Rattus norvegicus: one gene and its partners. The protein of the gene in region 2 interacts with the protein of the main gene of each other region in a pairwise test. Links are inferred from orthologs where the notes say so. Each region holds a gene or a part of one and is shown on either strand. Other genes may lie near its edges. The genes, in order: Tle5, U2af2, Thap1, Scaf11, Prpf3, Khdc4 and Snrpa.

Region 1 (4,738 bases), on a different chromosome or scaffold from region 2:
AGTGGTGGACCCTGAGTCACACTGTGGCCCCTCTCCCTCCCTCTCTCTCTCATACTCTCTCTCTCTCGCGCACACACACACACACACACACACACACACACACACACACACACACAAACACAATAAATAAGGCTATTGCGGCTCGACCGTGAGTGCACGAGGTCCGCTCCCCAGTCCCGAACCCAGGCCCAGTGCACAGAGGGCAGCACAATGCAGCTCAGAGATGGCATCTGCCTATGGGATGACACACAGCCTCTGTCTGCCCTGCAGGTCCTGGCAGAAGTCACCCTAAGAGTGGTCCCAGAGCCATGCGGGCATAGCCTGCACTGGTGCCTAAATCCCTCTTCAAAATGGTGCCCTAAATTCCTCTTTAAAATGGCAAATGCTGGGGGAGCCGCCCAGCGGGTAGATGGCTGGCCTAGCACCCCCTGGGCCTTGCCTGTCCTGTCCTGTCAGCAGCTCAAGGTCATCCTTGGCTATATAGGGAAAGCCTGGGCCACATAAGACCCTGTCTCAAAATAAATACCAAAAACTTAAATAAAATAATTTTTTAAAATAGAAAACTCCACAAACACTGAGGTTTACCTTTTTCTTGGAGAAATCTAAGGGTCTTTTAAAGATTTTATCATTACTATCATCATTATTATTAGTTCATTTTCTGAGACAGAGGTTTGTTCTGTACCTCAGGCTAGCCCAGAACAACATTCGCCTGACTGTGTGAGAGCTGGAAGGTTGGGCCTGCACCCCCATGCCCACTCACCACTGGATCCTATAAAACAGGTCCAGCCTAGGGTCAAACGGAGACCCGTGGCTGGGACCCCAACTCCCCAGCTTCAGGCTGCTTGCAGCTTTCTTGCTTCTGTGCTGTGCACTCCTGGAAACTGCTAACACCTCTGGGCTTTGGGGTGATCAGTTTCACACATGAGGAACCCGTCAGAAATGAGAAAAGTATTTGTGGTGGGAGTGACCAGGCTGGAGGGTCTGTGGGACACCTGCAAGCTTCCCCACTCCAAAACTGGACAGAAGGAGAAGGTGGGGCTGTGTGAACCTGGGCGGACTATTCACCCTCTCTGGGCACCCAGTCCAGGCTGTGCTAAACAGAGGGATGCATGGGGACTGGGCCTCTGAAACCGCGAATGCTGTGTGCCTCGGTTTCCTCCTCCACACTAGGGGCTGCTTGTTTTGTTTTTGTACACATGGTCTCATGTAGCCCAGGCTGGCTAAGTAGTTGAGGATGACCTTGAACTGCTGACACTCTTGGTCCACCTCCTGGGCCCTGAGATGGCTGAGGCACCCCCCACCCCGCCTTCTTTGATGCCACAGACAAGTCTACAGAGGTGGGGTCCCCAGGCCCTGCTCACCTGTGGTACTGCGCTTGTAGCAGCTGGAACTCATCCTTGATGCGGTCGCAGGAGTCGGAGGTGGTGAACTTGAGCTGCTGGGGGAGGTGGGAGGAGCCCTGCGGAGTGCAGGAGGGTGAGCAGCGCCCTGCCCCACCCACGCCCCACTTCCTGGGTTGCTTACAGGCCCTGGCAGCCAGGAAGGGACTGTGAGGCTTCTAGGCAGTGGTGATGCTTTTACACACTGGTCATTTGTGAGGGGCAGCACCCATGTGGCTGCCCCCCGGAGGAACTCCCCAGAAAGCCCCTCTAAGTCAAGCAAGGTGATAACAGGCCTCCCTCCAAAGCCAGCATGGAAAAGGCACCTAGCTTACCACCCTATATTTCCTGGGGGTACCCCATCACACCTGTTTCCTCAGGGGTGTGCTCTTCAGGGGTGGACCCCCCCAAAAGCTGCCCTGCCACAAGGAGTGCCCTGTGGGGTTCCTCCCAGGTCCCAGCCAAAGCCACAGGGAAGTCATGGCCTGGGAGTTAGGGAGAGAGCTGATGGGGGAGGGGCTTGGGGGGGCGTTTACAGGGCCCGCATCTGAGGGCACTGGGTCAGGAGTTGGGCTGTAAGATTCTCTGGGTAGCAAGGCTAGGGGTAGGGTGTGGGGAGCATGGCCACTGGGATCTGGTGTGGGAGGCGACAGATGGGCCCGGGCTTGGATGGATGTGAGGGGGACAGAGCCTAGTGCTGGGGAGGAGGTGCAGGGGAATGGGGGATATCTGGCTCCGGACAAGGGAGCACTGGGCCTTATACGGGCACAGGGTCCCCCCAACCCTAGTGCTGAGGGTGCCGGATGGGGCCTGGAGGAGGAAGGCAGCTGGGGTGCGGGGCCTGCAGCTAGAGGAGGGACGCAGAGCCAGGCTGGAGGTGGCGCTGGGCCCGGATGGTGACGCCAGGCCCGACAGGGCTGGAGGGAGAGACAGGGGGTGTGGGGACTGGATTGGGGGGTAGAGGGCACCAGACTTGGGGACAGGGCAGATCTAAGGTGGAAGGAAGTGCAGGGCCGAGGTGGTGGTGGGTGCAGGGCCTTGGACTTGGTGTCAGGCCAGTCTGGAGCTCTTAAGGAGCTGGGCCTGGTGGGGTGCAGAGCACAGGGTGGGGATGCAAGGTCTTGGGCTGGAGGACATGCGCGCCTGGGGTGAAGGGGATGAAGGACTTGTGCCTAGGGTGCTGCAGCTCTGGGTCTGAGCCCCAGGGCCGGGAGACAGGCGGAATGCGGCTGTAGTGGGGTGCGGGCCCAAGATTGAAGACAGGCTGATCCGGAGCCCGGGAGTAGGGGTTGGGGGTGGGGAGAAGACCTTGGAGTCGGGATGGGGGGGCCGGCGAGGGGAGGCGGTGAGGGGACTCAGGGCAGGGATCAAAGTTCAGGGATCCGGGCTAAGGATGCAGTGCTGGGCTGGTGGGGTGCGTAGGGCCTGGGTTGTAGGGTGCAAGGGCTGGGGCACAGGCCTGTAGGAGGTGGGGGAGCACAGGGAGCCTCTGGGACAGGCCCTGGGCGGGGAGACAGAAGGGATCCGACCTAGAAGGGGTGCAGGGTGAGCGCTGGAGGTGCAGTGAGCTGAGCTGAGGGTGCAGGAAGAGCTCTGGGGTGCAGTGCGCGGGGTCCCCCTTACCGAGTGCCGGCTTTGCGGAAACATCATGTCAGTCGCGGGGGGCGCGGGCTGCGCCCCGGCTCGGGCGGCTCGGGGGGCGCCGGGCGGCCGCGCTTTGTCCCCGATCGACAGCTCCGGGGCCCCGCGTCCCGCCTCCTGCGCCGCCCGCCGCCCGCCCGCGCCGCCCGCGCTATTGTGTAATGGCGACGCGGTGCCGCCCGGGCTCCCGCTCCACCTGCCGCGCCCGGCACTGCGCAGGCCCGGACGCCCCACCCGTGACCTTGGCCCCGCGCGCCCCGCCCCCGCCACGGTCCGGAGCCCCGGCCCGAGGCCTGCCTCAATGGTCCCCCAAACCCCCAGCCCCCAGGCCACGGACTCACAGCCTGGGCGCCCAGGCTTCAGGGTGGATTTATGGAGTGCCTACAGCGTGCTACATCCTCTTTGGAGTCGGAGGGTTGGCATGACTGGGGGGCACACTGGGTAGCAGAGTGACACCTGTCCCTCAGAGGTAGGATGGGGGTCCAGGTCTGTAACCCACTGACTGGGGTGCGGAGGCAGGAGGATCAAGAGTCCCAGGCCAGCCTGTGTTACCAGAGAGCCTGTCTCAAAACAACAAAAAGTAAGACGTGGTTTGTGTTGAGCTACAAGAGTTATTACCGGTACTGGGTAGGTTGAGGTAGGTGGAAGCCAGCCTGATGTACACAGTGAATACAGCCTGGGCTACAAGAGTCCTTATCTCAAAACATCAAGAAGTTAAAGAGGGGCACAGCAGGTGGTGGTGGCCCATGCCTTTAATCCCAGCACTGGAGGCAGAGGCAGGCAAATCTCTGATTTGAGACCAGCCTGGTCTACATAGAAAGTTCTGGGACAACCAGGGCTACACAGAGAGCCTGTCTCATAAATAAAGAGTTCCCTAGGTCCTAGCTTCTGCCCAGCACTTGGGAAACTGAGGCAGGAGGATTGTTGGACTTCAGCATTAACCTGTGGCCCAGTTTACTGAGTGAGACCTGTCCAAAAAATTAAATACACATATAAGTATATGTAAATGTATATGACATATATTATATATAATAAATAAATATGCTGCTGTGGTAGCACATGCCTTTAATCTCAGCCCTTGGGAGGCAGAGGCAGGCAGACCTCTGTAAGTTCAAGGCTGAGCCCTGTCTCAAAAATAATAAAAAATAAAACATAAAATATATGAAAGAAGAAGAGTTCCCTGGGCCAATATGATTAACCCCTATATTTCAGGCCAACTTAAACTGCAGAGCGAGACACTGTCTCCACAATTCCATACAGTGTCAGACTCAAATGGCCCAGACACAGTGGCCAGCCAGGCTTGGCTAGGCCACGGCCATGCCAAGCCCCAGTGGGGTGGTCGGGGTCCTCCCCCAGCCACAGAGGGCCAATGAAGGAAAGAGGAAGCCATCTCCAGGCCTCAAGAGACAGGACCCGGACTCAGACTTTGGTACCCTGGAGGCAGGAGTCCAAGAGGCTGCTCCTGGTGCTGACCCATACCCGGCTGGTAGGGCTTTTGGTGAAGGTGCCACGATTGGCCTGTGACATTGTCTTGTTTTATTTATAGAAACACGGTCTCGTGGAGATCAGGCTAGCCTGGAACTCTGTAGCACAGGATAACCCTGAACTCTTGACCCTCCTGCGTCAGACCAGCCTTCCCTATGACTATTGTCCTGTCCCACTTTGGGGTATACAGATCCCCTTTCTGTGGCTTGCTGACAGTCTCTGATTCCAACATG
Region 2 (4,238 bases):
GCCCAGTGCAGACAAGGTAGGAGAACAACAGGCAGGAAGAGAAAGACAAGCAAAGGGACAGGAAGGGCGCCCAGAGAGGCAGAACAAGTAGAGTGCAGGGGCAGGGAGAGATGGAGGAGCAGGGGAAGAAGGGGTAGGGCGGGAGGGGAGGAGAAAAGAGTGATGTGGAGGGATCTGGCCCTGGAGTCCGGGGGCTGGTTTATCAAATGTAGCAAAGTGCAGGTTGAGAAAGTCAGAATGGACCTTACTTGCCTTCGACGATGGTAGCAAACTTTTTGTTGCTACGAGGGATCTCAGCCCCACAATATTTCACTTTAAAGAGAAATGGAAACAACTCTTTGATCTCGGGATTCTCAGGGGGTGCCACGGGAAGGGGTGGGGGAAAGGGGTGGGGGAGAGGAGTGGTGGGGAAGGTGGGGGAGGTCAGGGCTACCAAAAATAAAAGAACAGCGACCATGGGAGGGATGTGGGGAAAAGGATGTGGATAGACGGCAGAAAAGGAGAGCATGTCAGAAAACTGGAGGGACGTGCGTCTGTTTGTACGTGTGTCGAGTCTCCCTCTCTGTCTCTCTCCAACACGTAGGTACAATATGTAAGTGGGTACGTTATGTGTGTGTTTGATCCCTGGGTTGCTGGAGGAGGTTGGGGAAAGGGAGACGGGAGAGGGGAAGAGGAGGGAGGGAGGGGCCACCCCCAGCCCGGCCCCTGGCTGGCTCAACTCCATCCGTCCGTCTGGGAGGGGGCCGGGGGGTCTTGCAGGAACAGAGTCTGACGCGTGCAGGTTGGGGAAAGGGAATGGAGGGAGGGGAGGCACAGGGTAGGGAAACAGGGGAGAGGGCCGGGGCAGGAGGAGGGCAGTACCTCAGTGATGCCAAAAGGGATGTTGCCCACGTAGAGACGTCTGGCCTGTCTGGTCATCTGGCTCCCAACCACAGGCACTGGCGTTGGGGTCACAGCCAGACCATCAGGAGTCATAGTCGGGAGAAGGGCAGTGGCTGGAATCTGACCCGCAGCTTCAAGAAAGGTATAAAGAGTAAAATCCCATTAGCAACCCTAAAACCAGGACCACTCAGTGTACACTAACCATACCCACCCACCCTCCAGACCACTTCATCTGGAAGCTCTTCAATCAGCCAAGTCAACTCAGCAATGGAGTCCAATACCCACTACTAAGAAGTCTGACTTCCTAAGGGGCCTGCTACGGAAGACATTCCCTCCTCCAGCAGCACTTCACATGGCAGGTACCAGAAGTCCTTTAGTTTCACCAAGCACATTAACACACACAACTTTAACCCCTAACACCCTCCCTCCACACACACACAATTGTAACCCCCACAAAGCCTACGGGAGGGAAAGGCCTACCTTGCATGGCCTTGTACTGCATTGGGGTGATGTGCTCAAAGCCAGGCGGTGGCACGTCCCAGTATTTACGAACCTTCTTCTTCTTCTCATGGCGGGGGGAACGACTGGGGAAGGGGGGGAGGGGGAAAGTGGGGCAGGGCAACCTCAGTCTGACCAACACTGGGTCTGCAAATCCCATAAGGAGCACCTTCCCAGTCCACCCCACCCTCCCACAGAGAAGCTCCTCTCTCTCCAGGAGGGAGAGCTAGGCCTGGGCCTGAGGAGGGACACTGGCAGATGAGCCTCTTTCCCAGTGCTCGGGCCAGGGTGGGGATGCAAGGCAGGCAAATTGCACAGGTGAGGAAGGAGAAGGGATTGGACATGGGGCAGAAGGGGCAGGAAGAGAAGCTCACATCAATCCACCGTGCTCCTCTTTAGCGCCTCTGGTCAAAGGTTTGCTGAGGGGTGGGAGGGAAAGGGAAAGGTATGGGGAGGAGTGACTGGGGACCTTTGTCTTCCCCTCATAACACACCACACCCAAGATCACTGAACCCCAGGATCAAGGCAGGACCGAGGAGAACAAGTAGCATGCAGGCCCCCTCGGCCCTGCCAATCCCCCTAACCCTACCATTCCCAGGAATGTGGAAGTAATGAGAAGGAGCAGGAAAAGACTAGGCCACTCTATGGAGAAACTGAGATAAGAAAGGATGTTCTTCATATATCCCACACTTCCTTACCTAAAAGGAACAGAGAGAATGAGGGGAACCCAGGAAGGAAAGATGCCTCGGAATAACTAGCCCTGAGCTAGAAATGAAAGCTTCAGATACAGCCCTCCTCCCAGAACAGAGGAAGCAGAAACAAACAGGGTTCTCCGAAAGAGCCCCAGACAGAATGAGAGAATAAGAAAAAAATAATTGGGCCCTCAAAAGACAGGTACAGCCTTAGACAGGGGAAGAGAAAAAAAAAAAAAAAAACTCATTCCCTGCCCCCAGGAACTACTGCCCCCAGCAACCCTTTGCCACTGCCAGAGAAACTGAAAGAAATCCCATAAACAGGGAAAACTGAGTTCAAGACAGACCAAGCGGCACCCACATGGAGAACAATCAGGCAGACCCAGTCTCTGACAGAGGACCCAGCCAGAAGTCCCAGGGCTCTAGTGTACCTTCGTCGTCTCCTGTCCCGGGAGGCACTGCGCTGGTCCCGGTTACGCCGATCTCGGCTCCGGCTCCTGCGCTTTCGGTCCCGGCTTCGAGAGCGACTATGACTACGCTTCCGGTGCCGGTTTTCCTTGTCCCGTTCTGGACAAGCATGAGAAGACATGGAATGAGTGAAGAGAAAGTGCAGGCCCAGCCCACCCTGCGTGCTGGTGGCTATACCAAGACCCAGGGAGGCCACCCCACCAAGGGAAGGGATTTAATGAAAGGAGACAACAGGCCTCCTGGGTCCACACCCGAGTCCCCAAGGACTCTGAAGGGACCAAAGGGACAGGGCCTGGAAATGCCCCCGGGGTGTAAGATACCTGAAGATGCTCAAGAGGAGCTGAGGAGCCAGAGAAGACAGAGGAAGCTGGCTCCTGGTCCCCCTCGAGGGCTGAGGGGCCTGACCCCAGGGTCGTCCCTGAGAGGGGCAGGGCTAGAGGCTGGGGAATCAAGAGACCCAATGATGTTTTCCTGAAGAGACCCAGCAACCCCTCAGGAAAAACCTCTGCAACCAGCTGGTACCCACAGCCCCACCACCAGACCCAAGGGTCAGGTGCCAGGCAGATCTAATAACCTTAAGAAGTGAGGAAACTCAACTCCATCCCTTCCCAACCAGGTGAATAATGCAAGAGCATGCACGCTCTGAAGGGAGGGGCTTCTTTCTGAACACACAGAAAGGAAGGAAAAGACACCTCCCTAATATTTCAACTGATGGTCCAGAGAAGCCTCATCTACCAGCACCTCCGTGCCTTACTCCCTCAAAGCCAAAAGCAGGGTGGGCTAGAATAAGGACCTGTGTCTTCACCATTATCTACTCTGCTTCCTTAGCATCTCTGCCTCAGAGGTCATGGCTACTAACAGAGCACAGCCTAGCAAGAAAAACTACAAAGCCTCAGAGGCAAAGGCAGGCAGATGGACCTAAGACCAGCCTGGTCTACCTAGCAAGTTCCAGACCAGCTGGACCTACATAGGCTCCAACTTAAATAAAAACACAACACTATAACTACTACTCTGCAGACTACCCCCTCAAGGTAGAAGCTAAACCAGGATCACCTTAATGTATTTCCTTAATTCCAAAGTACCACTGATCTCTCAACCATCAACCCCCCACCCACCCATACAGATGAACACAGCCAGGAGTGATGAGACATGTGGCAGGCTGACACAAGAAAATGAAGGGTTGGAGGCTAGTGAGTTAAATGAGATACATACTCAAAAACTCTAACAGGTGTATCCTAAAAGTACTGACTTCTGAGACTGGCAGTAGGAAAAAGCAATAAGAGAAATTTCATAGTAGATTTTAAACACACTCTACATTTATATTATGTATTTTTCTGTTGCAGTAAGTAAATTTTGAAATATTTAACTCAACTACTAATACTAAAAAAACACCTCAGGAAAAACATAACCAAAACATAACCAACCTTGAGATACTTCTATCTGAATCTGCAAACAGACTATTGTCGCTTGCATTTAATTGTCACTAGTGCTTTGGAAAATCTGTCAGAAGCTCATAAAGCAGATAAGGAAACTGAGGCACAGGGAGATCATGACTTGCTCAAAGCCCAACAGCTGGGCAACAGTGAAGCCAAGACTGAAATTGTAATGCCACTAAGTTAGGTACCAGGCTGTAGTCTCAAACGAAGACCAAGCAGAACACTCATTACAGAGTCTGGGTTCAACTACTAACAGCAAAGA
Region 3 (4,793 bases), on a different chromosome or scaffold from region 2:
AACTGGGTTCAGTAAGATGCTGCCAGCCTCCAGAGCACCCTAGTTCAGATTCGACACAGATATAATTACATAAGCACGTAACTGCAGAGAGAAGTCCAGAAAGGTAAAGCCTTACTTGGGGAAGGTAAGGGAAGCAGACATAACACATAAGATTCATCTTAAGGATACATGGGGAGGTCAGGGGATGGGCATCCCAGGCCAAGCAAAACTCTGTATTTGAGCAGTTAAAGGAGTTGAAGGACAAGCAGGGCAGGATGGTAAAAACACAGAGTACCTGCTGCCTATGCAGCCACCATAAGCAATTTGGATTTTACTCACTCCAGAGGTAGACTCTGAAGTCTAAGTTTTATAAGCAAGGAACTGGCAGTGTTTTTACGAGGGACAGAGAGAAGGCTGGAGACTAGGACTGACAAAAAGTTGAGTAGGAGACTGAGTACTTGAATTCAAGATTGCTGGTGAGAGAATAACCAAGAGGTACTAGTTTTACTCTATGAGATTAACCTAAGTCTTGAGGAAGGGGGAGAAATCCTAGGAGCAGCTGATAAAAACACTGGGAACCAAGACTAATGGGAGTTGGGTCCCTGGAAGCCCACAGGGTGGAAGGAAGAGAATCCACTCCCACAGGCCGTCCTCTGACCTACATGTGTGCTTGGTGCCCATTTGCCTAAAGTTATAGATGGTGTGAACTGCCTTGTGGGTGCTGGGAACCGAATCTGGGTCCTCTGCAAGAGCAACAAATGCTCTTTACCACTGAGTTAAGTCCTGGTTTTGTTTGTTTGATTGATCTCATTGATACCAGGGTTCCAGATTTAAGTAGCCGGCAAATGCATTAAACCACATACATGGTGACTCAGAAGGCAAGTCCATGTGTGCTGAAGTTAGAGGGGCTAGTAAAGGATGGTATGCGGGCTCAAGAGTCAAAGGTCTACAATGATGTCGGGCACACGCGCCCCAGACTCAAAACTACAGAAGGTCAAGCATGTAACACTTCTCTCTAGCATGAAAAATAGCTGCAACAGCTCGCAATTTCCAGCACAGACAGAACGCAAAGGTAACAACGTTCCAAGCTGGAGAAACGGCTCAGCGGTTAAGAGCACTGACTGCTCTTCCAGAGGTCCTGAGTTCAATTCCTAGCAACCGCATGTGGCTCACAGCCATCTGCAGTGGGATCCGCTGCCCTCTTCTGGTGAGTCGGAAGACAGCGACAGTGTACTCACAAATATAAAATAAATTTTAAAAAATAAGTGCTTTTGATTCTCAGCTTAGAAGAAATGAAATGCACGTCTGTACTCGCTCTTTAAGTAGACGGCCATCTGGATTCTGAACGTGGAACACAGATTTGTATAAATCACACCTCCGCAGCCGCCCTTTTTAAAAATTACATGTGACCAGGGACGAGCTTTCCCACCTTCCCTTTACGCTTCTGGGTCCAACAGGCGGTTTAAATTGAATTAAGTTTACCACACTCACCAATACAAGACCCTACAAGAGACTAAAGCAAGGCTCCCAAACAAACGCGCTTTCTTCCGGCCAAGGCGCAGAGGACCCACCCACTTCCGCACTGCTGACCACGCCCCCCAGGCACGCCTCGCCCTAACCAATGGTCAGCTTCCCTGGGAACGTTACCTTCGGCTAATCAGAGCCTGCGAGCGAACTCCTCGCGAGAGGTGAGGTTGAAGCTGCCTCCGCCATCTTGAAGATGGGAGACGAGCGACAGCTGTTGTCTTTCTGCTAAAGCAAACACCACAACGGACCGGGTGGTCACCCCCCACGGTGAGGTAATCGTCCCCATAACTGCTAACCAAAGCCACCGAAAGCGGCGACCGTATCAAAGCCGAGCGCGGCGGCACCGACGGCCCCTTCACCTGCCTCCCGGGCAGAGGGGAAGTGTGGAGGGCCAGAAGGATGGTGCAGTCCTGTTCCGCCTACGGCTGCAAGAACCGGTACGATAAGGACAAGCCCGTCTCCTTCCACAAGTAGGTAACTGGCGTGCTCCGCGGCCGCGGCAGGGGCGCGCGGGCGGGTGGAGGCGGAGCCCGGCGCGTGGCCGCGCGAGACCTGGAGGAGGCGGGGCGGCCGGCGGGCTCGGGCGGCAGACGGGGCTGGCCGGCGGGGGCGGGGACCCATGGCTGCGCGTTCCCGGCGCGCGCCGCCTCCGTTGGCTGGGCTCTGCTGAGGCTGCGGCCGCGCCTTTGCGCTCGTGGAGGGTTTCTGGCGAGCAAGCGATGGACGCCTGGAAGCCTCTCGCTGCCCTCCGGATTTCGTCCCAAGCCAAGCCGTGGAAATGTCCCATAGGGATAAACTGGAACTAGAAAAGCATGGGAGGGAGACCTGGCTTCTGACCTCGCTGCTGCTGTTAGGAGGGAAGCAGGATAGCTGAGTGTTGACATCTGACCAGGACTTTTAGACCTGGTTTCAAAGAACCAAGCTTTAAGGATCTGTGGGTTTTAGAGGTGACTCTTGGTATTGCCAAGATGAGCCCCAGTCTTTCAACACACGGTAGTAATGAAACGATAGCATTCACTTTACTCAGATGCCCTGGGAAAGGTTGATGGAACTAATGTTAGCTTTCCCCCACAGCTGTCAGGCCTTGTTCTTGTGTGTGCAGCAAGCAAGAATCCAGGATGAAAAATACTCTCTTGAAAGAAGAAGGCAATAGAATTAACGTTACTGATGGTGATTATTAGCAATGCTAACGGTCCACAAAATGTGACATACTTTTAGGCAGCTAAATTCGTTATTACAAGTTTTATGTTAGGTTTTGGAAGAATTCCTGACTGTATGCAGAGAATAGCTAAGAAATCAGACCCACTGGAAAATTATCCAAACTGTCTATAGGGAAAACAATTACAGAAACAAATTTCAAAATGTTCCCTCAGGGATTTGGGGAGCTAGTGTTTTTGTTTAAAAGTGTTTGTTAGAAAGTAAGAGTTGTATGCTGGTGTTTTCTCTGTGGGAAGAGGATAGAATATGTCCAATTACTACGACTTGATTGATTGAAATTTCATACGCCTTCAGAATGTCAGAACAGATCAGGAAATGGTGACAGGGATATGCATCCGACTTGCCACTTCCCTTTCCTATGCTTTATTAAGATGGCCCAGGAGTCTTCAAATATGCAGACTAGTTAAAAATGGCACACATCGGGGTTGGGGATTTAACTCAGTGGTAGAGCGCTTGCCTAGCAAGCGCAAGGCCCTGGGTTCGGTCCCCAGCTCTGAAAAAAAGAAAAAAGAAAAAAAAAATGGCACACATCAAACTACTGTTTCAACTGCTGGATGTTGAAACATAAAAACAAGAATGAGTCTTATTCCTTATGTAAGAACAGTAAATGGCAAAGATCTTGACAGTTCAGAGTTTGTGCTCTATGCCAGGAGATGAGATACTAAGATTTATAAGAAGCTACCACAGTGGTTGTACTTCTTTTCAGGAATATCTTTTTTCCAGCCTGTGTGCAGTAGCAGTGGAGAAAGCTGGCTGTGTAAAGAATAAACACTAGCAGGAAGATTGGTTAGGTCTTCATAAAGAAAATGATGATCAGGGTCCCACATACCTTATGTAGTGGAATAGTAAAAATAAGTGGAAACATTCCTTTTCAGCCATTTCTGATTCCTCTAGCATCTCCCACCAAGTTTTTGTTATAGAAAAGCATAGTGGCAATAGATACAAGGATTCCCCATTCCATACACTGAATTAAGCCATAAAATAACGTCCTTACCATCTTTGTCACTTGCCCAATTCAGGATGTAGTCTCTTTGTTGGAGTGATTAAAAAGAGCTAGACGTCTATTTCAGGATGTAGACATATGTCCAAGTTTTGTTCTATAAGACACAAAATTTTTAGTAAAAATATGCGTAGAATTTGCACATATGATCAATTTTTTTTCTTTTCTTTTCTTTTTTTTTTTTTTTTTTTTTTTGGAGCTGGGGACCGAACCCAGGGCCTTGCGCTTGCTAGGCAAGTACTCTACCACTGAGCTAAATCCCCAACCCCACATACGATCTATTTTAACTGAACTGTTAAGTGTCTTCAGTATAAAAAGGTGAAGCTCACTGAGTGAGAATAGTAACCGGAACTGATCTCCAATCAGATTCTCCTTAGTATGTTAAGATTTTCCTTAGTATGAGAATGGGGGAAGGGTATTATTTATTTTTTAAAGTAAAGTCAGAGAACTGAATTGTATCTTCTTAGGTTTCCTCTTACTCGTCCCAGTCTTTGTAAACAGTGGGAGGCAGCTGTTAGAAGGAAAAACTTCAAGCCCACTAAGTACAGCAGTATCTGTTCGGAGCACTTTACTCCAGACTGCTTTAAGAGAGAGTGCAACAACAAGCTACTGAAGGAGAACGCTGTGCCCACTATTTTTCTCTATATAGAGCCACATGAGAAGGTAATTTGGGTTCTTAAATGCTGGATTTGTTTTTTTCCTTTCCCGGTCTTTTCTTTGTTTTCTTTCCTCCTCTGCATTCTCTTCCCCTCCCATTCCTTGTGTGAGACAAAGTCTTAAGTAGTCCAGGCTGGCTTTGAGCTTGCGTATAGCTAAGGCTGAATTGGAACTCCTGATCCTCCTGCCTCTACCTTCCAAATTCTATCATAAGCACTGGATTTGAGTGAATGCTGTTTTAATTTATGAAGCTAGTGTGTTCATGGGAAAATCAGGGAAGGGTTAAAACCAGTGTGTTTGAAACCCATCATTTGGCAGTAACTACTGTTGGGGCTCAGTGGTTAAGAGTATGTATTGCTCTTCCAGAGGATGTAGATTTGACCCCTAACACCCACTTGAAGCTGCTCACAAT
Region 4 (4,238 bases), on a different chromosome or scaffold from region 2:
GGTTATTTTGCCTTAGAATTCAAGGGGATAAATAGGGTCGTAGTGGGGGAGAGGGTTGTGTGGCAGGAGTGGGAGACCAGCTGCTTACATTGATTCCACGCTCAGGAAGCAGGAGTCACGGCATCCTCTTATGTAGGTCAGAGTGTGCGGCTGCTCACATTTATTTAGGGTGATCCTCTAACTTTAACTTATGCTAGATAATCCTTGTCTACAGAGATTTGTTTCCAAGGCCATTCTCGGTCTTGTCAATTAGGCAGTTCTTTGTTTGGATGTGTAAGTACTCTGAGAGCACTGGGCTGTCGAGTAGCTGACATGGCTGAGTCACATAAAGACACCTGCAGCACACCTCGGAACCTGAGCTCAATGCCCAGAAGCCATCCCAAGGTGGAAGGAGAAACCAGCTCTCTACACAGTTGTCCTCTGCCAGCCTCACATGAACTCTGATGTGCACCCCTCCACACACACAATAATAATAGATAAATAGATAATTTTAATAAGAGTACTCAGTTGTCTAAAAACTGGTTGGTTGGCTCATTCATTCTTTATGTATAAAGTAGTTTCTTATGGTTCAAAACTTAAAATTCATAGGATTGGGAGGTGGCAAACAAACATTCTCTTGTTTTTCCCCTCTATTCCCCACCCACTCCTAAACTATTCTTTTATGGTTTGTCCCATAGGAAACGCCTTCACGAGGAGAGATGAAGAAGAAACCCGTATATAATCAGAGTGTGGGTGATCAGGAGAGTGAAGATGCGGAAGGTAACTGGCTATAAAGCCTGTATCGAAAGTCAGATAGCGTCACTAGGCTTTAAAATTAAGCTTCCTAAATTTTTCTGTCTTTTTTTATATTCTGAAACAAATAACAAGAATTAAGAATTATACACTTTGGGACTGGAGAGGTGACTCAGAGGTTAAGAGCACTGACTGCTCTTCCAGAGGTCCTGAGTTCAATTCCCAGCAACCACATGGTGGCTCACAACCATCTATAATCAAGTCTGGTGCCCTCTTCTGGCCTGCAGGCATACATGCAGGTAGAAAGCTGTATGATGTATACATAATAGATAAATGTTAAAAAAAAAAAGAATTATACACTTTGCCTTCTCATGTTTTCATTGAACATTTTTAGTTGAATTGTTGATTATTTTGTTTGTGTAGGTGTGTGTGTCTGTGTGTGTGTGTGTGTGTGTGTGTGTGTGTGTGTGTGTGGGCACATGTGCACCTGTACATGTGTGTATGTGGAGGTCAAAGGACAAGCTTGGGTGTTTAGGATGCTGTTCCTTAGGCACCATTCACCTTTTTTTGTTTTGAGACAAGGTTTCTGACTGGCCTGGGAATTCCCAAGCTAGCTGACCGGCCAGCAGACCCCAGCAATTGGCCTGTCTCCGTCTTCTCTGCACTGGGACTGCATGCATGCATACTTGGCTAATGTTTAAACATGTTTTCTGGGGATTGGCAAGCACGTTATTTCATGAACACTCTTCCTTTTTAAGATTATAACAGCATTAATATTCCCCCTGTAAAGTTAATTTTTTTATTTATTTGCTTATTTTATGTATATAGGTATTTTACCTGCATTGTATGTCTGTGTACTATGTGCATATCTAATATTAGTTTGTATTTGTTAAGACTAATCTGAAATCCTAAATGCCCAATTCAGGTATTGTTTATAGAATTTGTATTTCCTTCATTCCAAACTCATACTGGAAACATGTGAACTCTATTTGAATGTTTTGGCTTAATACTGATCCTTTAGATTAATATGTCCCTCTATTTGGGAAGGCTCCAGGTTGTATTGAATTATACAGCTCCCATTGCTTGCTTACATGTTGTTGTGTAAGTTGATTACTGTTAGGAATTTAAATTGGTACAGACACAGATTTGGCATATCTATTCCTGTGTTAGAAATATACATTGATCCCATACTGCTCCTGTATTTGGTTTTTTTTTTTTTTTTTTGGTTCTTTTTTTCGGAGCTGGGGACCGAACCCAGGGCCTTGCGCTTCCTAGGTAAGCGCTCTACCACTGAGCTAAATCCCCAGCCCCGTATTTGGTTTTTTGAAACAAGGTTTCTCTGTAGCCTTGGTTGTCCTGGAACTTGGCTCTGTAGACCAGGCTGGCCTTGCCTGCCTCTGCCGTCCAAGTGCTGGAGTTAAAGGCATGCACATTTAATTATTAACCTGGCTAGTGATTCTGTTTTTAAAGAAGTGATCTGTAGATACACTTTTTGAAATTTGAAATGATTGTGTTGTGATATAAGCTCATTGGTAGAGTACTTACCTGCCTAACATGTGGAGTTCTGGGTTCTCTCCTCAGCATTCATCGTCATAGCCAATGGCCGAAAACACATGAATGTCTATTAATAAGTTATTTTAAGAAGCAGATTAATATGTATAGTACTCCAGTGTTTGTGTGAGGAAGAAAAGACATGGAAGAATGTATATTTGGGTTTATCCTGGCTTATTGACTCACCCCTGTACTCCTAGTACCTAGGAGGCTGGGACAGAAATATCCCGAGTTTGAAGCCAACCTACATATTGAGAAACATTTGTTTTTTTTAAATGTTTCTTTGAGTTAATGTTTCTCTTTATCATTGGCTGTCCTGGAATATACTCTGTAGAACAGGTTGGTCTTGAACTGAGACAGCTCCCTGTCTCTGCCTCCCAAACGCTGGTATTAAAGGAGTGCACCATCACCACCTGGCTGAGAAGCCCATTTCAACTGAGGGGAAGGCAAGGAAGGAATTGCTTTTCTATGCATTAAAAAATATTATGTAATAAAAGAAACTGTAGGTTATTATTGGATTTAGTAGAAGTAGATAGGTATGTGACTAGGTTTGTCACTATAGAATTTTTACTAAAAAATTTTGAACCAGGTAAATAATATTTAAAATTAATTATGGTCCATGTATGTTCCCCTTCCTCACTGAAATATACAAGAAAGTTGATTGAGAGTGGTAGGGCATTTGTGTAGTATATACAAGGTTGCCCTATTTTATACACACATATACACACACACATAGTCACACAACAACACAGACACACAAATCACCCACAAACCATCCAGACACAGACACACAGAGTACACAAAAAGTAAATGCTGGTGCTGTTGAGCTTAAAGAGTATGTTTGTCATTTGACATCCAAGATATGGTTGCAAAGAAGCAAGGCTGGCCCTTTGAGGATGTAGGCAGCCATAATGCTTATAAGCATAAATCAATGGTTTGGGGGCCTTTGAAAACATGACTGTCTTTTTCTTTGCAGGTGAAGAAAACAGAAATAATGCTGATACTTCTGGCTTACTGTACAGTGAGGTGGACAGATGTCCAATCTGTCTTAGTTGCCTATTAGGGAAGGAAGTTGGTTTTCCAGAAAGTTGTAATCATGTCTTCTGTATGGCCTGTATTCTTAAATGGGCAGAGGTAAGTCTGAGAAGAGCACTAACCATAGTAATTACTGCATTTGCTCTCCTGTCATGATTTTATTTCACTTACTGCTACTGCCTGCCGTAAGTTACTTCATACTACGTTCTTTCCCTTTTGCTTTAGTCAAGTTTCTGTTTGTTTAAATCCTGTCTGCATGTTTTCTCCCAGTTGTCTTTTTACTCAGTCTTTTCACTCTTTTATAATTAATTTTACTTTAGACTTAGAAGAAACCTTATAGAAAGAGCAGGTCAAACAGCCTTCTGACCCTTATAGGACATGACCTGCTTGCACTAATAACATCCCTGTATGCTTTCTATGTTATGTATTTCAGAGAATTTCCACACAGGTTATTTGATTTCTTTCTGGAATAGTCAAAGTACAAGCCACAGTGTTTTTTCACTTTAAAGTTTAGGGATCTTTAGTGTAAACTGATTTCAGAATCTGAGTTAGAGATTTTACTTAAGATCTTTTTATAAAAATAATTAAGAAACAAGATATTTTAGGCTTTGACTATATTATAGTGAATCAATTTGGGCCAAATAAATTGAAGTATATATTAATCTTAAGCCCTGTTATTATAAACTATAAAATCAAACATTTACTGTTTTTTATATTTTTTTTATATTATGTTACAATTAGTAAAGAAATTAGGTGTATCTCAAACTTAATTTTTCTTGTATTTTTTCTTGTACTTATGTTCCTTAATATTGTTGAAAGAACTGACTTGGTCTTTAGTGAGTGCTGTCTTTCTGATTAACTTTTATAAGAGATTTGTTATAATAGTTGAATTAATAAGAGTACAAGAAGAAACATAATTT
Region 5 (4,981 bases), on a different chromosome or scaffold from region 2:
TATCCTCTCCGGTTGAAGTTATAGGCTTGTCCTTTTTCTAATGGCGAATGCCTTTGAACCCTCTTGTGATTTTACTCACCGTTCCTCCTTTGAGGAAGCATTCAAGTCCCTTATTGCCTGAGTTGACAAGGTCTTTCCTTAGGTACCTGACATGTAGGTGTTACCTCCCACTCTGCAGATGCAACCACTGAGATGATTACTGTCATCTGCCACCACGCCCAGCCAAATGGCAGAAGTTTTCCATGTCCAGTTGACTTTGTTGCTCTTGTTTTTGGTGTAACATCTAAGAATTCATTGCCAAATCCAATGCCATGAAGACAAACCCTGTTTTCTTCTAAGAGTTTTTGTTTGCTTTGTTGTTGTTTCAAGATGGTTTCTCAGGGTTGCCCTGGTTTTCCTGGAACTCACTCTGTAGACCAGGCTGGCCCCAGATTCAGAGATCTGCCTGCCTTTCTCTAAATGCTGGAATTAAGGACTATACACCACCACTATGCCAAAAACTGACTTTTACAGATTACATGTATTTATGTACCTTGTGTGTGTGCGCACACACCACAGTCACCTGAGGGAGTCAGAGGACATCTTTCAGGAATCGGTTCTCTCCTTCTACCTTGTGGGTCCTGAGCATTGAACTCAGGCTGCAAGAATTGGTGGCAAGCACCTTTACCCACTGAGCCATCTTACCAACCCCAACAGAAACTAGAACTAGAAGAAATATGCGGTAGACTCATTAGAAAGTGAAGTTGTTTCCTAGTAAGATGGAAATTAGAATTTTCCAATAGCATGAAGGTTTTTAAAAAAAAGATTTATATATATATATGTATATATATATATATATATATATATACATATATATATATAGTCGCTATCTTCAGACATACCAGAAGAAGGCATCAAATCCCATTACAGATGGTTGTGAGCCACCATGTGGTTGCTGGGAATTGAACTCAGGACCTCTGGAAGAATAGTCAGTGCTCTTAACCACTGAGCCATCTCTCCAGCTCTATCATGAAGGTTTTACTTTTTTTTTTTTAATTTTATGTGAATACACTCTCGCTGTCTTCAGACACACGAGAAGAGGGCATTGGATCCCATTACAGATGGTTGTGAGCCACCATGTGGTTGCTGGGAATTGAACTCAGGACCTCTGGAAGAGCAGTCAATGCTCTTAACCGCTGAGCCATCTCTCCAGCTCAATTTTTTTTTTTTTTCTTTTTTTCCGGGGCTGGGGACCGAACCCAGGACCTTGCGCTTCCTAGGCAAGCGCTCTACCACTGAGCCAAATCCCCAACCCCTAATATTTTTTTTGTTTGTTTTTACTATAAAGGACACTTTGAGTACGAATGTGGATGTCCTTGCTTTTAGTTCTAGCAATAAGGTTAGCGCACTAACTCTTGACCCAAGGGAATGTGCTGCCAAACGACTTCTGCTCCCGGCAATCAGGACTGGACTAACGTTGGCTTTGCTCCGCGGCAAGTCAGCGAGCGGACTTAAGCTTTAGGATCCCGCCGCGCGTGCGCCCGGCCGCCGGCACCTTGATACCGCGGCTGCGCGGCTCAGGTCCCGCCTTCTCAAGTCACGTGTTATAGGGACCGCAGCGTGGCGGTGGCTCTGGCGGTAGCGACGGCGGGCCATAGGGCAACCGGAAGGTTTCCGGTTCCGGTGTAACGTTCGGGCTCCGTCTCAGGGGCTGAAGTTTGTGAGGTGAGTAGTGGCCCTGCGCCCGAGAGGATAGCCTTCGGTCCGAGCGGCTGGACAGGGCGGGAGTGTTCGGCGGGAAGCAGGCTGAGAGGAACCCCGGGTTCTGTTGGGGGACGGAATCAGAATGGGCTTGCTGAAGGAAAAGGGCGGGGGCGGGAAGGAGCAGGGTGGGCAGACCTGCTCTGAGGTGAGGAGTTAGGTCGGACTCGGTTGAAGCGGGGGCCAGTTGGAAAGATAGTAAAGAGGGAGCATGGGGGACTCAGGGGCTTGTAGCTTAGAAAAGTAAGGAATTCCTTCAGAAGATGAGAGTCTGCTTTCTGCTCATTCAGAAGACAGCCTTCTGCCTTCCTCCCGTTCCCCTCTACCCCCCAGGCCCACACCGACACTGACGCCTCCTCGCTATTATAGTTATTTGGTTGGTGACAACTGTAGTGATTGGAACTTTCTTATCCATTGACTGCTTCGTTTGCACATTCGGGTCGAATTTGAAGACATCTATTTGTCAGTATATTGCCTGGGCTCACATCCAGTCTTCTAGTGTTTCACCTATTACTTTGGATTTTGAAAATTGCTTAAACTTTCCAGTCTATTACTCAATTGTAGTGGGTCGTAAGTTTCATTAACACGAGGATTCTTGGCTGTTTTGTTCACTGCTGTATGTGTCTTTACATGCAGTAAGTATTCTGCTTAACAAGTAATAGGAACTTAAGTATTTACTGAATGGAGTGTTATGTCAGATGTTCCCACTTTCTAAGATGAGTATCCTGAGGCTCTGGTGATTAACTTGCTTACCTAAGGGCTTATAAATGGTAGTGCTTACTATATCCTCTCTTCAGTGGGCTTTCTTCTCCACCTTTAGTGCCTGTGTTTGCTTTCTTTTTGATAGGCAGTATACTGCTATCTCATGATGGCCCAAAAAGCAATCCCAGGATTATTCATAAGACTTGTCACTGAGGAACAGCCTTTCAGCTTCATTCAGGTGTATTAAATACTGTGCATTGATAGATCTTCTGAGAGATAAGTCTGTCAATTGTAGGAGCTAATTAGACTGCATCTTTTTGTTTTATGACAAGGTCTCATATAGCCAAGAGTTGACATTGAACTCCGTAGACAAGGCTGGACTTGAACTCCTGATTCCCCTTGTGCTGGGATCACAGACTTGTATGGTCATTTGAGGTGGCATCTTTTAGATGTCTTTAAACACCTTGAAAGAGTCATTTCCCAGATCGCACTACGATACAGGGCAGTGCTAAGAGGAGGTCAGCTGGGAAGTTAAGGTCAATTGACTGACATACAGCCATTGGGAAGAAAATCAGAAATTAAGTTAACTTTATGCTGGTGAAGATGTTTGAGATTTAAGAGTACCCAAATGTAAGCATGAATAGTGTTGAAATTTTACACCAATTTGCATTAAGTAATAAAGAATCATTTTGGCATATAGAATGCTTACAACCATGAATAAATCTACAGAGAAATGACAGCATTCTTAAAGATTATGAGATTTAACAGGAGGACTGACTTGAATAAAACCTCTTATTTGTATCCATTAAAGATGTTTTAGGTCAAAGCCGGGTTAGAGAATGCCTTCCAGAGTAGACGTAATAGTAAGGTTGACTTCTAGATTGACTCTTCAGATGTTCTGTTTGCCTATCCTTTATATGACAGAGTCAGAAGTTAGAACCCATTCCTCAGATTAGGTTATTCCTAGTTTGTTTATTCTTCAGATAGTGTTGATGACTGATGCTGAGTTAGAATCAAAATATCAAATGAGTGGGGCATGGTGGTATGCTCCCGGAATTCCTCACTAGGTAAGTGGAGGAGAATTGCCAAGTGTTGAGTTCTGCATGAGCTACATTGTAAGACCCTATCTCAAAACTCAGAAAAGCTGGGGCTGGGGATTTAGCTCAGTGGTAGAGCGCTTACCTAGGAAGCGCAAGGCCCTGGGTTCGGTCCCCAGCTCTGAAAAAAAAAGAACCAAAAAAAAAAAAAAAAAAACTCAGAAAAGCTAATGGAACCCTTTCCTCCTGTTTTGAAGCTTGGTTTTAGGGAAAGTATTCTCCATATCAAATGGAGAGACATGCCTAGGGGTTGAAAATAGGAGTGGGGAAAGCACCCTTATTATACTGTTATCTTGATTGCTTTGTTTTCCTTTTCTCTGACTCTTGCTTGGTTTCTTTTAGGTGTAGTACTTTGTCCGATTTGAGCTCTTAGTCTCTGTTTCCTCCAAAATGGCACTGTCTAAGCGGGAACTGGATGAGCTGAAACCATGGATAGAGAAGACAGTGAAGAGAGTGCTGGGTTTCTCAGAGCCCACGGTGGTCACAGCGGCATTGAACTGTGTGGGGAAGGGCATGGACAAAAAGAAGGCGGCTGGTGTGTACCTCTCTGACTCTTCTGACTTAACAAGTATATTGATTCCAAACACTAATTTGAAACTGCCCCAGGTTGTTCCTATTGGAGCATCAAAGGAAAGGTGGGGCTAGCCCCTTCTCCTTTTGTTGTTGTTTTCTTGTTTTGTTTTTTTGAGACAAGGTTTCCTCTGTAGCGATGTCTGGCCTGAAACTCAGATATCCACCTGCCTCTGCTTCCTGAGTGCTGGGATTAAAAGCACACACCACTCCCTCCTCCCCCTTTTTTATTAAAAGACAGGGTCTCATGGATCCCGGCCTGGCTTCCAGCTCACTAGCCGAGGATGCCCTGAGACTTAGGAGTCTACTTCCTCTACATCAGCAGCTCTCCACCTGTGGGCTGTGACTCCACAGGGTTGAATATCAGATGTCATGTATATCAGGTTTTTACATTAGGATTCATATCGGTAGCAAAATTACAATTATGAAATAACATCAAAATAATTTTATGGTTGGGGTCACCATGACATGAGGAACTATTAAAGGGTGGAGTCATCAGGAAGGTTGAGAACTGCTGTCCTGCGTCCTGAATTCTGGGATCACAGGCCTGCACCACACCTGATTTATGCAGTATTGAAGATTGAGGAAACTGGCACCTAGGCAAGCACTCTACCAGCTGAGCCATTCCTCGCTCCTTATTTTCTCTTCTGTTATAATGGGAAGAGCTTAGATAACCAACCTTTCTCTCTTTTTATTATTCGTGGTGCATTGTGAATTACAATCTTTGATCATCGTACCAAGTCACCCAAGTCAAATTTGCTTAGGAAATATACTGCAATCAATGGCTGATTCTGATTGGCATCTCAAAATACGTAGATTTTGTTATTGGTAGTCTTCCATAATTTGTAGTATAAAGTGATATTTTATCTTAA
Region 6 (3,218 bases), on a different chromosome or scaffold from region 2:
ATGATACTCAATGTTAAATACCAGGGGGAAGGCCAATCCTGGTGGGTTTCTTTAATCCCAGCACTCTGGACACAAAGGCAGGCAGATCTCTAGGAGAATGAGGCTAGCCTTTTTATACAGAATACCAACCAGGCAGCTCAGATATTAGAGGTACTTGTCAGGCAACCCTGAAGAGCTTAGTTTGTTCACTGGAAGCAAAGTGAAAGAATTCATTCCTGAAGGGATGTCCTCTGACAGCTACACACATCATGGAACAAAATGTATCCCATTAATTAATCTTGTTTTAAGATTTATTTTTATGTAGATGTATTTATAATTTTATATGTATCTGGCCTTGGAGGTCAGAAGAGCATACAGTGAGACCCTATCTCAAAAACAAATAAAGCAAACCATTAAAGGGGGAAAGTAAGAAAATAGAAAAAAAAATAACTTAATAATCATAAATCTTTTTGACTTTAAGGATATACTTTGCAGCACTCAAGGGGCATATGCAAATGTTGAAGCATTTTAAGTTTTTATTGGGTAGGAAAACTGCATTATGCTCCGAATACAGAAGGTTATTAATAAGGGGCTGGAGAGATGACTCAAAGGTTAAGAACACTATTTCAGAGGATCCAGGTTCAATTCCCATGTCACACGGCAATTTACAACTATGTATAAAACTCCAGCTTCAAGGGATCTGATACCCTCACCCAGACATACATGCAACAAACTAACAATGCACATTTAAAAAGGAATAAATAATTAAAAAGAGTTTATTGATATTAGTGTTATGAATGGGCCAGGGAAGAAAAAGAAAAATGACAAGCAGAATCTTTATACATTTATTTATAATGAAATTATGGTCTAATTATTTACAACATACAGGAAACCAGAGTTTGTACAAAGCCAACCTGCAAAGTATTCAAAAATGTGCAAAAATGACAGTCAGTATCTCAGACACTCCTGGCTCAGCCACCGATTCCTTCACTTCCACACATCAATATTTGATACAAAAAAGTTCTTTTGGCAAAAGTCACAATGCCAAGAAAAAAAGGACAAGTTGCAATTCCAGTCAGAGTCACCGTCCTATTGGTAGCATCACATCTCTCTTCTCGCTGCGACCAGTTCTGAGACAAATGAGTATTTCATTTGTGTGATGAGCTCTGACCAGCTTTCCATCACGTTTTCTTTGAAACGTGAAAACAGGGAGGTTGGAAGGGCAGTGCCAACAGCAATGGCTATCTGAAACAAGTGTGCCTAAAGGTGCCAGCTTTGGATCATCCCGGTATTGAAACAATGCAAAAATAACTCCATTTTCCTATTGAGGATCCAGTTGTAGTTGACCATTCTAAATTAGTAAAACAGCATTTTCCAAACAAAGAATCCAAATGGAAAGAGGGATGAGGAGCTCTTAGAATTACATGTAAGCATGGAAGGAAGGGTCTTTAAACCATTTCCCACTAATAAATAGTAAGGCTTTGTTTATAACCAGTTATCAAAATTGACCCAATAGTAGTAAAATACAAATAAAACTTTCTTTACAACAGAGTTGAGGCTATTCATTTGGAAAAGGCTAGACCAGGTCAAACATATGTAGCAATGACTCTGTCCTGATATTTCACTGGACAAGCACATTTCGTCAACTTTTAAAAAGCTTGATGCAAATTTGTGATTCTAAGTGAATTTTAACAGATGTTATGCCACTGCAGAAACAGGGTTTTAAAAAGAATGGCATCCCTTTATGACAGGGGACACTGCATCCCTAATGTCTTCGAAGGTCCAAGATGGCCCCCAGAACAGGTTCCAGAGTCTTGTTTAATCAAGTGCATGCATTATTGCTAAGAAGAGTCACCGAGTGTCAGAGCTCTGTCCACTATTTCCTATGGGGCCATCCAGAACGGCATCTGCTGCTTAGCTCGTGGCTGTGACGAAGGGTACTGATAGCCCAAACTCCAGCCCTGTGGAAAGCTACTTGCATTTTTATGACCTCCATGTTCTTCCTCTTCATCAGAGGAGTCTGCAGCGTAAGCTACTAAGCCAAATCCCTTCTCTGCTGTTTTCATCTTCTTGGCTGGATAATCTAGAAGAGAGAACAAGCCCAACCCCAATCCCCACCAAGAAAAAAAATACCATAAATTCGTTAATTAAAAAAAAGATGTTAATTGTAAGTGGTTAGTTGGACACCATTTTGTAGCCACAGGGTCAATGGTCACCCCATAACGTTGATGATCACACGAAAAACAGCCAGCACCAGCAAATGACAATCCACCAGAACCATGTAAGAAAACAGAGAAAGAAAAAAGAAAAAAAAAAGAAAAGAAAAAAGGAAAGTTAGCAAGTGAGTCTCTGAAGACTAACATTTCACCTCTTAAAGAGCTAAAAGAAAAGAAGAAAAGAAAAACTATTTTTTCTTCTGTTCACTTTTATCAACTAGAGGCAAGGAATACAATGATCCCATGCACAGGATGCAGAGTTCCGGGATGCTGCTGGGTGTTGAGCTCAGCTCCCAACACATAGGGAAATTAACTTTCCCCAAATCTACATCAGATGACCGCCAATTAGACAAAATGAACAATAGGATTCTGAAATTACTTCCCAATCATTAGTATTTCCTACGAATTTAATACGAGTGGTATGCATAAAATATAAAGCAGACAACTCTATTCCCAACACAGAAGGACTAAAAATAGAAAGGCATAAACTGTCCTTATAAATTAAAAAAAGTATTGTTATCAGTCAGTAGATGACGGAGATTGGTTTCAATCTTCTGGACCGACCACCAGGTTAGAAGACTAACAACCACCCTACTTGTCCTCCCAACCCCAGCTCCACTGTACTCACCATGGCTTCCGGTTAAGGCCCCAGACCCATTCCTTTCATCAGACTCAGTTTTTATTCCAGTCACTGGAAAGGCTGGTGGAGGCATCAACTGCCTGTCAAAAGCATGACATTTCTTTTCAGAGAAATCCAGCATTTTAAATTACCCAGTTAATAACAATAGGAACAGTTGCTGATATGAATAACAAGAGACTGCTGATACCTTAACCATTTGCCTTTGCCCTCACTCTTTAATCATCAAGTCTGTCTAAAAAAGGAGACCATGCCAAAAACAGTTGCCTATTAAAAGAATTTGGGGGTTGGGGATTTAGCTTAGTGGTAGAGCGCTTGCCTAGAAAGGCCCCAGCTTAAGAGAAAAAAAAAAAAGAAAAAAAGAAAAAAAATAAGAATTTGGTTCC
Region 7 (3,800 bases), about 14 Mb from region 2:
CACTGGATCCTCTGGAGCTGGAAACATAGGGCGCCGTGAGCTGCTGTGTAGGTGCTGGGAACCATGCTCTCTTGACCACTGAGTCATCTTCAGCCTCCCTCCAATGTCTTTACATACTTCTGGACAAAGTTGGGCCTTAGTAATTATGCCTCTTTTTTCCCCCCTTCAAAAAGCTCTCTGTGGTCTAGCATTCATCCTTGAACTTCAGCTTTTCCTTCTTGGCGGCTCAATTAGGTTTGCTTTTCATCTTTTCAAGTGTGGGTCTTTCTCTTTCTGTCTTATCTCAGTGGCTCCGTTGTGCTGTGGGCACTGTGACCTTGCCTTCCATTATCCCTGTGACATCACTGCTAATTCTTTTCTCCACAGGGCATGCCACCGATGACTCAGGCACCCCGCATCATGCACCACATGCCAGGACAGCCTCCCTACATGCCACCACCTGGCATGATCCCGCCACCAGGCCTTGCTCCTGGCCAGATCCCTCCTGGGGCAATGCCCCCACAGCAGCTCATGCCTGGGCAGATGCCACCTGCCCAACCTGTAAGTGTCCCTACCCCACCACAAGGTCTCCTAAGCATAATCTTCCAGGAGAAGTAGAGCGGTTACATGGGCTTCTAGGTCAGTCAGGTGGCGCTGCAGCTGAGCTCTTGTGTGGTGACCCGACCTGGGACAGAGGGAAGTTGGTTTGTGAATTGGTCTGGGAGAGCATGGTGCAGCTAAGCCACTGTCTGCATCCAAGTTAGTGCATGTACTCGGGTCCAGGTCTCTGCTGCCTTGGGCCTTTGGTCTCTGGGCAGAGAAAGGTGAGAATGTGTGCGTTGGAGGAACATGTGGTGAAAGAGGGTGGTGAGCAGAGTGCAGTGCTCGGCATCCCTCTTGGTACCCATGACCATGGGCTCCCCTCTTTCCCACAGCTCTCGGAGAATCCACCCAATCACATCCTGTTCCTCACCAACCTGCCTGAGGAGACCAACGAGCTCATGCTCTCCATGCTCTTCAACCAGTAAGTGGGGCTTCCTGCTGGGTGGGCAGGTCTAGGTGTTTGGTGCCCAATGCCTGAAGGTGTGAAGTGGGATAGGAAGGAGGTGCATAAGGACACGCAGTGCTGTGGGCATCTGTGCGCAGGTCTTTCGGGTCCCGGGCTGCCTTTGCTGAGTCAGTGTCCTTACAGGTACAGAGCAAGGGAAAAGTGAAAGCAGTAACATGTTGAGGCAACCTGTTGAAAAAATGGCGTGGGCACTCGGGACAGGAGGACCTCGTGCCCGGCCAGTGTGATGGAACCTGTAGGCCTTGAGTAGAGGGACTGCGGAGTGGAGAAGGGCTGTTTGCCTAGTCTTCGGGTTTCTAAGAACACCTCTTCCAGAAATGTCTGGTCAGGCTGGGGGTGTTAGTGGTGGTGGTGTATACACATAATCTCAGTACGTGGTTCAAACAGGAGGCTTGAGTTGAGGATCATTTTCTGCTGTGTAGCCTAGGCTATGTGAGGCCCTTGGTAGGAGCGTTACTTGATCTATGTATGAGGCTGTCAGCCTTGTCTGGTATGGAGGAATAGTCAGCTCTGAGATGGGGAAAGTTTGTTTGCGACCTTACTCTCCTCCCCCTCTTTTTTTTTTTTTTTCTTTAAGACTTTCTTAGTTTTACTTTATGCATTTGTCTGTTTGTGGCTATGTGCCAGAATTGTGGGATATCCTTGAGCTCGAATTTTAGGCAGTTTTGAGCTGTCTGACATTGGTGCTGAGAACTGAGCTTGGGTTCTGCAAGATCAGTTCTTGATCTTAACTGCTGAGCCCTACCTCCAGCCCCTCCCTTCTTGTTTGTGATGGAAACAGATGGTTTATTAGGTAAACATGGGCACAGTCTTCATATGGCCAGGAGCTGGTGATCCTCCTGCCTCCACCTCTAATGGAAGTCTGACCTTCCATACCTGGTATGGATGATTCTGTAGAATTATGCTGAAGGAAGTTTGAGAGACCAAATAAAGCTGGAAGCAGGACAGTTGATACGCCATCTCCACAAAACACTGCGTGTTTGTGAGACTGCTTGCCCCGGAAAAGATGTCCATTTCCCTGGAGCAAGTGAGGGAGTTCAACAGTCATGATGGCACCTTGTAATCCTGGTGCTCAGCCTGAGGAGCTAAGGTCCAGCCTGAGTTACTTAAATAGGGACCCTGTCTCAACAAAGCAAAAACCAGAGACTGAGAGTAGGGATTGGTGACAGTTTGTGGGACTGGGGGTGGACTTTGGGGGAACAAGGGGTTCTAGCACTTTGTTTGGTCCACATTGTGATTGTTATTTATGTGATTTCATTTAATGTTGTTTACGGTAGAGGATCTGCATGTATTTTGTCCACGTAATCCTTTGGGTTTGTGTTGTGCATTATGGGAAGCTTAGCTTCTCTGGCCTCTGTCACTGGTGCCAAAATATTAGGGGAAAGCTGAGGTGGGTCTCTGAGGTCTGTTATTCCCTTCTCCCAGGTTCCCTGGCTTCAAGGAGGTGCGTCTGGTCCCTGGGCGCCATGACATTGCCTTCGTGGAGTTTGACAATGAAGTGCAGGCTGGGGCAGCACGAGATGCCCTGCAAGGCTTCAAGATCACACAGAACAATGCAATGAAGATCTCTTTTGCCAAGAAGTAGCACCTTTCCCTACGGAGTGCCCCAGTCCCCATTCTGGGGCTGCCCCTTCCCCCTCTCTTGGCTCAGTCCCTGAAGGTAAGTCCCCCTTGGGGGCCTTCTCAGAGCCGTGAGTGAGTGTGTGTCTGCCACACAGCATTGTACCCAGGGTCTTCCCAGACATTGCACCTGGCGCTGTTGGGTTGTGATTAAAGTGAGTTTTTAGGTTTGGTTTTTCACCAGTCTTGTCCGCTTTATTTTCTTGCCTAACTTGTTTCCTTCCACATCAAGAGTTTGGATCTCGTGGCTTCTGTGGGTTCACAATCTAAGAAAACACTCGGGAGTGGAGCAGTATTAAATGCGTCTGAGGTCTCAAATCACGGAATGCAGGAAGAAGAGCACCGTGTATAATTGGGCGGGTTTCGTGCTGCAGGTTGCTGCTGCTTGCTTCTGCTGCTTTTGTACTCTGCAATAAAGAGGAGAGGCAGTGAAGACTGTCTCCAAGGCGTTGGGTGAGGAGGACAAAGCTGCTTACATCACCAAGGGACTCTCTTGTTATTGTAGCCAGGGGAGAGGCAACCTCCCTCTCCACATTGGCCTGGTGGCTGTGTCACATGCATGCTGTGGCCAGCCCCTCTGGTTTGCAGTCACCCAGTGGTCAGTTAGTATCCCCAATGTGAGCTTTATTATCTTAACTGTGTGAAAAGGAATCCTCTATTAATGCCACAATCATAGTATTCCCACTGTCCCCGCAGACAGCATCAGGCACTTAGCTGACACTCGTAGTAGATTCAGTATATACTGAATAAAACTTAGAAGTGAAAATCAACATTGCTAGCTTGGCCTTTGGTCATACCCAGACGGCTGAGAGCGGGGGTGCTGCCTGGAGTTCCCTGACAGCCTGAGCTGCTGTGGTGGGTACTGGAGAGTGAGGAGCAGTTAGGGCAATGAAGGTAAAGTCCTGATAAGGTGTCCTAGGGTGGAGCGCTTAGGCTCTCCTGGCGAAGGGGAGTTCAGTCTCATCTTTACCCAGGATTCTACCTCTTTTTTTTTTTTTTTTCGGAGCTGAGGACCAAACCCAGGGCCTTGCGGTTGCTAGGCAAGCGCTCTACCACTGAGCCAAATCCCCAACCCCTTTTACCCAGGATTCTAAGACTAACCCGTGACTTGGCCAGCTCAGAGGCCAGGGTC

Evidence for each region.
Region 1: the proteins of U2af2 (region 2) and Tle5 interact in binary tests that used the Homo sapiens proteins (3 or more experiments, as listed by UniProt). The two-hybrid records come from large-scale screens. The link is inferred for Rattus norvegicus from reciprocal best matches to the Homo sapiens genes U2AF2 and TLE5.
Region 3: the proteins of U2af2 (region 2) and Thap1 interact in binary tests that used the Homo sapiens proteins (3 or more experiments, as listed by UniProt). The two-hybrid records come from large-scale screens. The link is inferred for Rattus norvegicus from reciprocal best matches to the Homo sapiens genes U2AF2 and THAP1.
Region 4: the proteins of U2af2 (region 2) and Scaf11 interact in binary tests that used the Homo sapiens proteins (3 or more experiments, as listed by UniProt). The link is inferred for Rattus norvegicus from reciprocal best matches to the Homo sapiens genes U2AF2 and SCAF11.
Region 5: the proteins of U2af2 (region 2) and Prpf3 interact in binary tests that used the Homo sapiens proteins (3 or more experiments, as listed by UniProt). The link is inferred for Rattus norvegicus from reciprocal best matches to the Homo sapiens genes U2AF2 and PRPF3.
Region 6: the proteins of U2af2 (region 2) and Khdc4 interact in binary tests that used the Homo sapiens proteins (3 or more experiments, as listed by UniProt). The two-hybrid records come from large-scale screens. The link is inferred for Rattus norvegicus from reciprocal best matches to the Homo sapiens genes U2AF2 and KHDC4.
Region 7: the proteins of U2af2 (region 2) and Snrpa interact in binary tests that used the Homo sapiens proteins (3 or more experiments, as listed by UniProt). The link is inferred for Rattus norvegicus from reciprocal best matches to the Homo sapiens genes U2AF2 and SNRPA.

What each region holds. Positions count from the first base shown.
Region 1 is NC_086025.1:8,797,803-8,802,540, forward strand, and holds the start of Tle5 (TLE family member 5), read right to left. Parts: upstream 3,121-4,738; 5' UTR 3,030-3,120; coding exon 3,003-3,029; intron 1,865-3,002; coding exon of another isoform or gene 1,748-1,864; intron 1,460-1,747; coding exon 1,362-1,459; intron 839-1,361; coding exon of another isoform or gene 757-838; exon of another isoform or gene 1-756. UniProt on the Homo sapiens protein: Transcriptional corepressor. Acts as a dominant repressor towards other family members. Inhibits NF-kappa-B-regulated gene expression. May be required for the initiation and maintenance of the differentiated state.
Region 2 is NC_086019.1:77,800,414-77,804,651, forward strand, and holds part of U2af2 (U2 small nuclear RNA auxiliary factor 2), read right to left. Parts: intron 2,981-4,238; exon of another isoform or gene 2,861-2,980; intron 2,640-2,860; coding exon 2,504-2,639; intron 1,800-2,503; coding exon 1,755-1,799; intron 1,467-1,754; coding exon 1,363-1,466; intron 1,014-1,362; coding exon 862-1,013; intron 313-861; exon of another isoform or gene 253-312; intron 1-252. UniProt on the Homo sapiens protein: Plays a role in pre-mRNA splicing and 3'-end processing. By recruiting PRPF19 and the PRP19C/Prp19 complex/NTC/Nineteen complex to the RNA polymerase II C-terminal domain (CTD), and thereby pre-mRNA, may couple transcription to splicing.
Region 3 is NC_086034.1:72,609,570-72,614,362, reverse strand, and holds the start of Thap1 (THAP domain-containing protein 1), read left to right. Parts: upstream 1-1,672; 5' UTR 1,673-1,905; coding exon 1,906-1,976; exon of another isoform or gene 1,977-2,029; intron 2,030-4,191; coding exon 4,192-4,387; intron 4,388-4,793. UniProt on the Homo sapiens protein: DNA-binding transcription regulator that regulates endothelial cell proliferation and G1/S cell-cycle progression.
Region 4 is NC_086025.1:129,482,227-129,486,464, reverse strand, and holds part of Scaf11 (protein SCAF11), read left to right. Parts: intron 1-677; 5' UTR 678-698; coding exon 699-759; intron 760-3,259; coding exon 3,260-3,417; intron 3,418-4,238. UniProt on the Homo sapiens protein: Plays a role in pre-mRNA alternative splicing by regulating spliceosome assembly.
Region 5 is NC_086020.1:186,089,041-186,094,021, reverse strand, and holds the start of Prpf3 (U4/U6 small nuclear ribonucleoprotein Prp3), read left to right. Parts: upstream 1-1,594; 5' UTR 1,595-1,704; intron 1,705-3,881; 5' UTR 3,882-3,929; coding exon 3,930-4,074; intron 4,075-4,981. UniProt on the Homo sapiens protein: Plays a role in pre-mRNA splicing as component of the U4/U6-U5 tri-snRNP complex that is involved in spliceosome assembly, and as component of the precatalytic spliceosome (spliceosome B complex).
Region 6 is NC_086020.1:176,472,913-176,476,130, reverse strand, and holds the end of Khdc4 (KH homology domain-containing protein 4), read right to left. Parts: intron 2,916-3,218; coding exon 2,824-2,915; intron 2,063-2,823; coding exon 1,863-2,062; 3' UTR 726-1,862; downstream 1-725.
Region 7 is NC_086019.1:91,608,467-91,612,266, reverse strand, and holds the end of Snrpa (U1 small nuclear ribonucleoprotein A), read left to right. Parts: intron 1-366; coding exon 367-540; intron 541-914; coding exon 915-1,003; intron 1,004-2,473; coding exon 2,474-2,633; 3' UTR 2,634-2,848; downstream 2,849-3,800. UniProt on the Homo sapiens protein: Component of the spliceosomal U1 snRNP, which is essential for recognition of the pre-mRNA 5' splice-site and the subsequent assembly of the spliceosome. U1 snRNP is the first snRNP to interact with pre-mRNA.